Linked DNA regions of Oryzias latipes. The protein of the gene in region 2 interacts with the protein of the main gene of each other region in a pairwise test. Links are inferred from orthologs where the notes say so. Each region holds a gene or a part of one and is shown on either strand. Other genes may lie near its edges.

Region 1 (4,513 bases), on a different chromosome or scaffold from region 2:
AGTGGGTCTTTAAGGGTGCGCCCCAAGGATCAATGCTTGAACCACATCTATTTCTTTTTTTTTGTGCAAATAAAAATGAGATAAAAGGTCACATTTCTGAAAACGGTGTTTCACGGGGTCATCACCAGAACAGTAATTGTCCGACTGTCATCTCTAAAGTTATTAAAGATCTGCTCTCTTTGGATCTAACGTCATATAAAAAAAAAACTCGTGCAAACATCAGACTTTTAGATGGTAAAACTTTTTCAAGAATCGGAAAAACAACCCGCAGGACAAGAGTCGTGGTTCAGGTTGATTTATTGCTTTAAGCACAGCTTAAAAAATACAAGATAAGAGGAAATACCATAAGGGAATATCTGGATTAAAGGTACAGTAGACTAGAAAATGCATTTCAGAGAGTTTTTCCCTATTGATGTGTCCACATAAATAAGCGTTATCTGCTACCTTTTTTATTAAGAAAAAATTGCTACTTTATCTTTAAAAAACTCCAAATTATTAAGAAATTTCATTTCTATGGATGTGATTTCCCTTACTTTTAAGGAAACACTGAATGCATATTCTAATTATCCCACTTTTTTTATTTGTCATTTTAAAGTTTTGTATGTCCAGCTTGGCAACCAGGTGTAAAGATAAACAAATAAACAATAGGGTTAATCATCTTTTGTGTATCTTTTTCTTAAAACCTTCACCTCTAAAAAAAAAAAAAAAGATTTAAAAAAAAGCTTAGATTGCAGAAGGTGATAACTACTTTACAGAAGCAGCAGGAGGAAACCTGATGTGTTGTGGGTCGCTCTTCACTTAACTACCTTCCCGTTGTCTGCTTTAGTCCTCGCTAAACTCCATTAAGCATGGAGAACTGCTTAAATGGAGTTTACGTTTAGCGTTTGATTCTCACCTTCATCCGTCTTGCTCGCAGGTTTGGCGTACATGGCGTTGAGAGGGAAGCCGGGCTCTCCGGGGATAGGGAAGTTTGTGATGCCCAGGGTGTACATCTCCTTCTCTCCCTGCCCTCTGGAGCTACACTGGAAAGTGCAAAAAATGACAGTTTTTTTTTCCTAAAGCATCAAACTTTCAAAAATAAACAGATTAAGTACAACAAAATCTTTTTTTCTACGTTTCAAAGCAAAATTTACCAGAACCAACTTCCAATTTACCTTTTGTAACTTCTTCAGGCACTCAGAAATGTACAATGTAACGTAGATAAGCGTCCTGTCGGCCTCATTCTGAAAAAGAGACACACAAATGTTTATGTCAGCGCTAAGGTCCGCTCTGAATGACAGAAAAGGAAATGGTTGTCGTTATCCTAAAGAGAAAAAAAAGGCTATGAAAGGATTGCATTCCTGACAAAAGTAGGGGGAAAAAAAAACACGCTGGGACATGAAAAGAAGGAAAAAAGTGAAGCAGCTGCAAGATACAGAAAAGGCAGGGAGAAGAAACTAAAGACAGATTTGAGTGCACCAGATGGCTACATGGTTTTTGGGGACTTAAAAAACATTTACAAGTAATGAAATGTTATAAAGGTACTTTTTTTTTTTTTTAGAAAATTGATTATCAAACTTTAAATAATCTAAAAAGTAAAGAACTTTTTAGGCCTTCAAAAATATAAACATAAAATAACACTGAGTGGTAAACACTCCACAAACATAAGTTGTCAGTTCCTTCAAATGAAAAGTTTGGATTTCATACCTTGATTTCGTAGTTCTTAAAGAAGACGTTGGCCTTGAAGTAGTAAATAGCCTCATCAATTATATCAGACTCTACACCTGGAGAAAAAAAACATTCACGCATTAGCAAACCAATATTATACATTTTTTAATTAACTACCACTTAACCTTTTAATATCCATGGGCAAAATTATGTCACTTCCTGTTTTTCAGAAGCCCATTTTTTATGCTTTTTGTTCTTAAATCTGAAAGATAGCGACTAAACAGACAAAAACATTGCAAAATTGAGCACCTTTTAAAAAAAATGCAATTCTTTAACACTTGAAGAGAAAAAATAGATACCATACTACGTCAATAAAGGAGGTTTTTCGACCTAAATAAAACAAGTCAATAACTACCAACCTGGGGATTGACTTCAGACCATAAAAGGAAGTTCAGCTGACACTTAAATAAGGAACTGAGCAGACGCTCTATGCATGTAAAACTCTGAATGGTGCCAAGTCAAACAAGAGGAGATTTTTTTGGTCATTAAACCTATCTGGTAGTTTGGGATTTGTATCGGCAGACGGAACATTTATGCAGTTGCACCAGCCTGTGAATGGGTCATGAAAAATGCTCACCGTCTCCCCTCGCTGGTCCTTTAAACTGAGTTTTGATGGGGAGCAAGGCCATGTTTCCGATCATCCTGGTGTTCGGCTCCATCAGGTTGGAGTGATATGCCTGACATTATAAAGAAACAGGAACACATCGCTGTCATCAGAACCACCAGTTCAGATATTCCAGCAGCGCATATATATCACTGTAACAAAATCAGTAATCCGCCACTTTCCATGTCTCCCTAATCAGGTAATGTCAAAATAAGTGTAAACGTCACAAAGTAACAACAGATTTGTTCATTTATACGTGCGAAACTTTAAAATTGCTAAAATGCCAAAGAGGCTAGCAAGCATAAGCTAAGCTAAAAGACTCATCATCGTGAAGCTAGCGTTAACCAGAATTTTAGGCTAGCTATTTTTGCTTTAGCCGGCAAAATTTACACACAAAAACTAATAAATAAACATTGAAAAAAGGCATGAAGGATGGTATTTACTAACCGGCATGTTGACTGAAATCTATCAATCCAACTGCTCAGCAAGTGGAATGTCAGCACAGCGAGACGCTACTTCCGGCTGTCGCACCCTTTGAGTTACAGGAAGTGGCTGGATGTCATGTGGCGTTGCAACCACTTGGGGGCGCTGACACGTGGTTTGAGTTTACAAGGCCATTTTTGACATTTTGTTTTTAGTTTGTGACTTTATGATTTTACAAAGCAACAAGGCATGTGTTTTATTGATTTTATTAGAAAAAATAAATAGCATTATATCTTCCTTTGATAATAAATCAGAGTTTTCCACAGAATCAACACAGAAACAAAACAAAAAAACGAAACGATGAGGCTAAAAAACACCCAATAAAAAACTCAAATTTCTTTTCTTTTTTGTTTTTGTTTAAATCATGCAGTCAATGCAACCTTTCAATCAGTCAAACATCGTTGTCAACTATTGTATCTGGATTCCAGCTTCAGCTGCCAACTGTGTCTTGGAATATCTCGTCATAATTTAGATTAGCTGGTTCTTCATCCCCTTCCTGCAAAAGACAAAAAGCAAAACCTCAAATGTCACATAAAAGATCAAAGATCAAAGAAATCATCTTTTCTCTAGAGATGTTCTCACCTTTGGCTCCTTTAACTCCAGGTCCTCTCCATACTGAATGGAAAAGTCGATGTGCTGCAGCACTATGTTAATACCCTCCTCATCAGTCCGGTCAAAGGGCAGAAACCTTACCATACTGTAGTCATCTATCTGGACAAAGAAGCCAAATGTTTAGAGAATTTTAAAAAATCAGCAATGACACACGACAACAGATTAGGCCACAAAGCTGCAAGTCCACTTACAAGATCACAAATAGCTTTGGTTAGCTTCTTGAACTTGGCGCTTCTGATTGTATGGGAGCTATCTTCCATCATTGAGTACATGTCTGGGTCCAGATACCTTCAAAAAAACAACAACACAAACACGCATTTCATGAAGGAACATTTACTTACTTCTGCAAACTTACAACACTCAGTTAAAGAAAAATCAAAATAAATAAATCAAAAGTGTTCATTCATGCTTTTAACATAGAAAAACAAAAACCATAAGCAAAACTTTATGTTTGTTTCCCAGCAGGTCCAACCTACACTTTGAGAAATCTAAATTCTAGTCAGCAAATACTTGCTAAACTGTTAATTATCAAAAATATGTCATTACTGGCAATAAAAGTGAGTATTTTAAATAATTTCTGTTGTATTTGGACTTCATAAAAATATTAAATTTATCACTATATATTTATCATTTTTAGTTTAATTATTGTAAATATTTAAACGTTACTTTTAATAAATGAATGTATGTAGGCAAAAAATAAATTAAGTTTATTTTTCCAATCATTAAGTGGAACCTTGTGGAACTTGCTGGGTTTTAATCTGTAAGAAACTAGTAATAAAGGCAGCTTTTCTTTAGTTTTTCCAAACTCACCTCTTCAGATGTTTCTATTTTTCTAAATTAATCTCTACATTTGCTTGATTTTGTTTTCTGACTGTATTAAGAATGGTTGTAAATAATCAATTCTGTGGCGTTTTAATTTTTTTCTGAAAGCTGGCAGATGTGCTTTGTCCGTACTTTTCAATTTCCTTCTTGGCTTTGGGGCTCAGCAGGTCCATCTTTGTCATGATGTTCACTTGTGGAATTTCCAGGGACACCATGGCGCTGAGGGCAGCCATGACTCCAGAGATAAACTGCAGGGAAACAAAGAGAAAAGCTGGTGCTGATCAG
Region 2 (3,842 bases):
TAAACTGATATCTAGTGGAGACTATAGAAAATCCTTACGTTTTTTTTGGAGTCTCCTGTCTTTGATCAGCAGGTGAACACACTTCAACAAAGGTTTTTTGAGGAGTCACATGACCAAATTTAAAGGGGATTAAAAGATGTCATGGTATAAACCAGGTGTGGTTTTATTTGTTTTACCTCTATTTTTACTTCTGGACTTTATGGACATTTGTTTCAGAAATGCTCACAGCAAAAAGTGAGGAATCACCTTTTATCCTAATGGGTAAAAGAAAAGTCTAAAATCGACAAAGTAATGAATTTCATGTCTTTGGTTTAAAAAATTTAAAGGTTTTCACGGTGAAAACAGGAAGAATCAACTTGTGAAAAAAAAAAATCACAAAAAATGTGACATTTGTGACAAATAAATACAATCCCATGTCACAGTTAGCTGGCTTTTCAAAAGGAAACATACAAAAACTCAACAAACATACCATCTGCAGGGCCACGTCTCTTCTCTGTGAAAACACAAATTATATCATTACAATCCGTGGCTGAGCAGCAGGTTGTGTTAATCGGTGTTAGCATTAGGAGAGAAGGAGGATCATTTGAGGTTTTGGCGCAGGAGTCGGCGGGATTGTGCAGGAGCAGCAAAGATCGGAGGTTTTCAGAATAAAAGGTCAGTTAGTGGATTTAGGAGGAAACTTGAATTGATTGCCCTTACTGAATAAAATATGAAAAGTGGGGTTGATGAAAGCACAGAGTCTCAGAGCTGGACACAAACATGAATTACTTAAGGTCCTAATTGCTTGTTTGTCTAGTATTTGGAAGGTAAACAGAAACGAGGTTATAAGTGTTAAATACAAAAGGGTTTGGAGGAGAAACGGCGGCAGAGAACGATCCATCTGAAAGAAATGTCAAAGAAAGAAAGTAAAAGAAAGACGGCTGTATAAAAACCATGACACTATAACAGTGAACGTTTGTTCCTATGAGGAAATCAAAACTGATATTCTGAGCTCCAAACAAATGATGGTGCCGAAAGAAATGAAAATATAACAAAACAGGATCAATGTCTTTTTCGTTTATTATCAGCTTTTCCTAAAGCTGTGTGTGGAACACTAATAATAATAATAATTTGTGACTTTGACAAATCTATTTTTTTTCTTGCAGCACCAGTTTATTGGATTTGTGATTAGTTTTTGTGAAACAAAAAGCTAGAAGCACAACTTGTGCCTCAGTGTGTAGCCCAAACATCGGAGTAACAGCTTAAGCAGTGACAGGTTGGAGAGTTTGAGCAGGAAAGAGACCGCAAGAGATTAGAACAAGAACCGAACGGCAGCAGAACACGGACCTGAGCAAAGAAAAACATGAAGGAAAATGATAAATTACAGCCACTGCTATTCATCAGTCATAGCTTATGGAAGTTCACCAATTTAAAAAGATGAGAGAAGTCTGTAATGTTCATCAGAGATCACAACTAGTAGAATCGGTGTCTGAAAAATATGTTTTAGCCCCGCTGGATTTCTGCTTCATAGTTGGAATAAGGTTTTAATAAATTATAGGGTTACACCTTTTATCAGTGTTTTTTTTTTTGCTCAGTTCTGTGTCAATACAGTTAAAAAAAAAAAAAAGACAAGTTTACATTTTCATTTTTTTGTGCTCCAAATGTCTTTGAAGCAAGTTTAACTAAATAAAAAAGGTGGATTGGATAAGCAGTACAGTGCTAATCCAGCCGGATCTATCCGATAGAACATCAGCTGCTACATTTACAGTCAACTTGTTTAAGTATTTGCATCCATTACTTTTTATTATTAAAATCCATTTCCAATTTAGTGCTTTACACGCCAGATGTCAAAAAGAAGTTTTTTTCCACACACAAAAGTTGTAAATCTTGTCTTTTTTTTTTATGAGATCAAAGCTGAGGAAAAAGGGAAGGTACCAGTTCTCCTCTGTCTTCTTCCCATCAGTTCTGACACGCTGCCTCTGAAACGCTTTGCTTCCTCCTCGTTGGCAAAGTTTAAGCCCACTTGACACGTCTGTCAGAAAGCACATGCGGGAAAATGTATACAGAACTGTTCACTAGTTCCGATCAGTCCTGTCTGCTATTCTTCTGTGTCACACACATACTTTGGACATTTTTGCAGTAGTTCTGAACTATTATTTCATGGAAATAACATTTATGTTCTTGAAAATTCCATTAGTAAATTAAAAAAAAGATATTAAAATTTGGTAACAAAAATGTTCTAAATACTAGATTAATCTTATTTTATTTTAGGACAGTTGAAGGATATGAAACAACTATATTTAATGTCTACAACCCACAAAAGAGTTTGATTTCTCTAACTGCGGTTTTACGAAAAGAAGGGAAGTATTTGTCCACAGAAATGTGCATTTAGAAAACTGGATTTTTCTTTCCGAACGGAGAACTCACATCTCCAGCAAATGTTGCAAAATAAGTCCTGGGCATCTGCATCTTGAAGTCTTGGTATAATTCCTGTTCGTACATCATTCTGCCATCCTGTCATCAAGAAACAAACGAGACAACCACATTTATTAACCAACAAATCTAACTGGATCTAACAGTTGCTGAAGCTTTTAATGCTAAATATTTGGATTGTTTGACTATAAAATGTGCTTTTACTAGTCTTTAAGTAAAAGTGAAGATTGACTTGAAGCTACCTTGATGTCAAAGACTCTGATGAAGTATGAACGTTGGGGGTTGTCTTTGACCAGACAGGCCACCCCGCAGCATCTCTTGTTCCAGCTGCCATTCCTATCACCTGTGTACACCTGGACCACAGCTGAAGACAGTGTCTGCAGAGGACAAGAAACAGAAAAACCAGCAGTTAAAATTTCAACATTTATGGAGACACTTTGTTTTTTATTCACAACCTTTGCAGAAAATAAACTAAAAGAAACTATATGGAAAAAAAAAATCACTCTAAAAGCTAATTCTTGTTTTCCAGACCCTATAGCACCCTCTTGTGGTAAATATCTGTAACTGCAATGCAGCGATAAAGGACATTTAAACAAGAATTATTGCTAAACATCTTCATTAAATAGATACAACATTTTCCTATAAATACCATCAATGTCTCAGACCCAGCCTACCAATCATTTTATATAACAAGACTTAAAAGATTAAAAAAAATTTAGGATTTTGGACTTAAAGGATTACCAGTGAGCAAAAGAGTCCGACTTCATCAATTGGACTGACTGTAAGGGGCATCTTCAGCTTTCTAGCCTTTCCTTAGGAAATTTGTATTTGTTTAGTATTTCATCTGCTCTCATTGATCTTAGTTTGTATCCCATTAAACCTTATTGATGTAATATAGATTAGGGTGTAATAGATTATATGTAAAAGAAAAATTGGTGAATTTGATGTTCAAATAAAACCTTGGGAAAAATGTCTTTCAGTATTCAGGGTCACCTTTACATGTGTGTAAATTATTATAGAAATGTTTGTTCAAAAATGAAAAGTTGTCCAAATAGGAGCAAAAATAGAAAAGAAAAGTCTGTGTGATTTTATGCTAATATACATGTTTAAATTGTAAAAAATGTGCATTTGTGCTTTGCATCTTTATTTTTGACTGAGTCAAAGTAGCATTTCTGCAACCAATGTTTCTCCACTCTGCTGAGAATCATTGCTAAAATATTACAATTTAATTCATAAACATTTGATTTGTGATGAGAAATGACAATTAAATGTAAACTTTGTAGCAAAAAAAAAAGTTGTTAATGTGGGAAAGGGGACCACCAAGAAACTAAAAGGCCTCCTAAAAGCAGTTTACAGTACATACACGAAAACATAAAGATTGAAAACTATACATTTATTTATAAATCTTAACTGCACTATTAAATCACATG

Evidence for each region.
Region 1: the proteins of wasl (region 2) and arpc3 interact in binary tests that used the Homo sapiens proteins (3 or more experiments, as listed by UniProt). The two-hybrid records come from large-scale screens. The link is inferred for Oryzias latipes from reciprocal best matches to the Homo sapiens genes WASL and ARPC3.

Annotation. Positions count from the first base shown.
Region 1 is NC_019870.2:16,796,340-16,800,852, forward strand, and holds the start of arpc3 (actin-related protein 2/3 complex subunit 3), read right to left. Parts: upstream 2,892-4,513; 5' UTR 2,765-2,891; coding exon 2,759-2,764; intron 2,385-2,758; coding exon 2,285-2,384; intron 1,764-2,284; coding exon 1,687-1,763; intron 1,224-1,686; coding exon 1,155-1,223; intron 1,023-1,154; coding exon 896-1,022; intron 1-895. Other genes in the region: gpn3 (GPN-loop GTPase 3), read right to left, coding at 3,225-3,290, 3,377-3,505, 3,598-3,694, 4,361-4,476. UniProt on the Homo sapiens protein: Component of the Arp2/3 complex, a multiprotein complex that mediates actin polymerization upon stimulation by nucleation-promoting factor (NPF).
Region 2 is NC_019881.2:13,550,152-13,553,993, reverse strand, and holds part of wasl (neural Wiskott-Aldrich syndrome protein), read right to left. Parts: intron 2,790-3,842; coding exon 2,655-2,789; intron 2,494-2,654; coding exon 2,407-2,493; intron 2,012-2,406; coding exon 1,915-2,011; intron 494-1,914; coding exon 470-493; intron 446-469; exon of another isoform or gene 1-445. UniProt on the Homo sapiens protein: Regulates actin polymerization by stimulating the actin-nucleating activity of the Arp2/3 complex. Involved in various processes, such as mitosis and cytokinesis, via its role in the regulation of actin polymerization.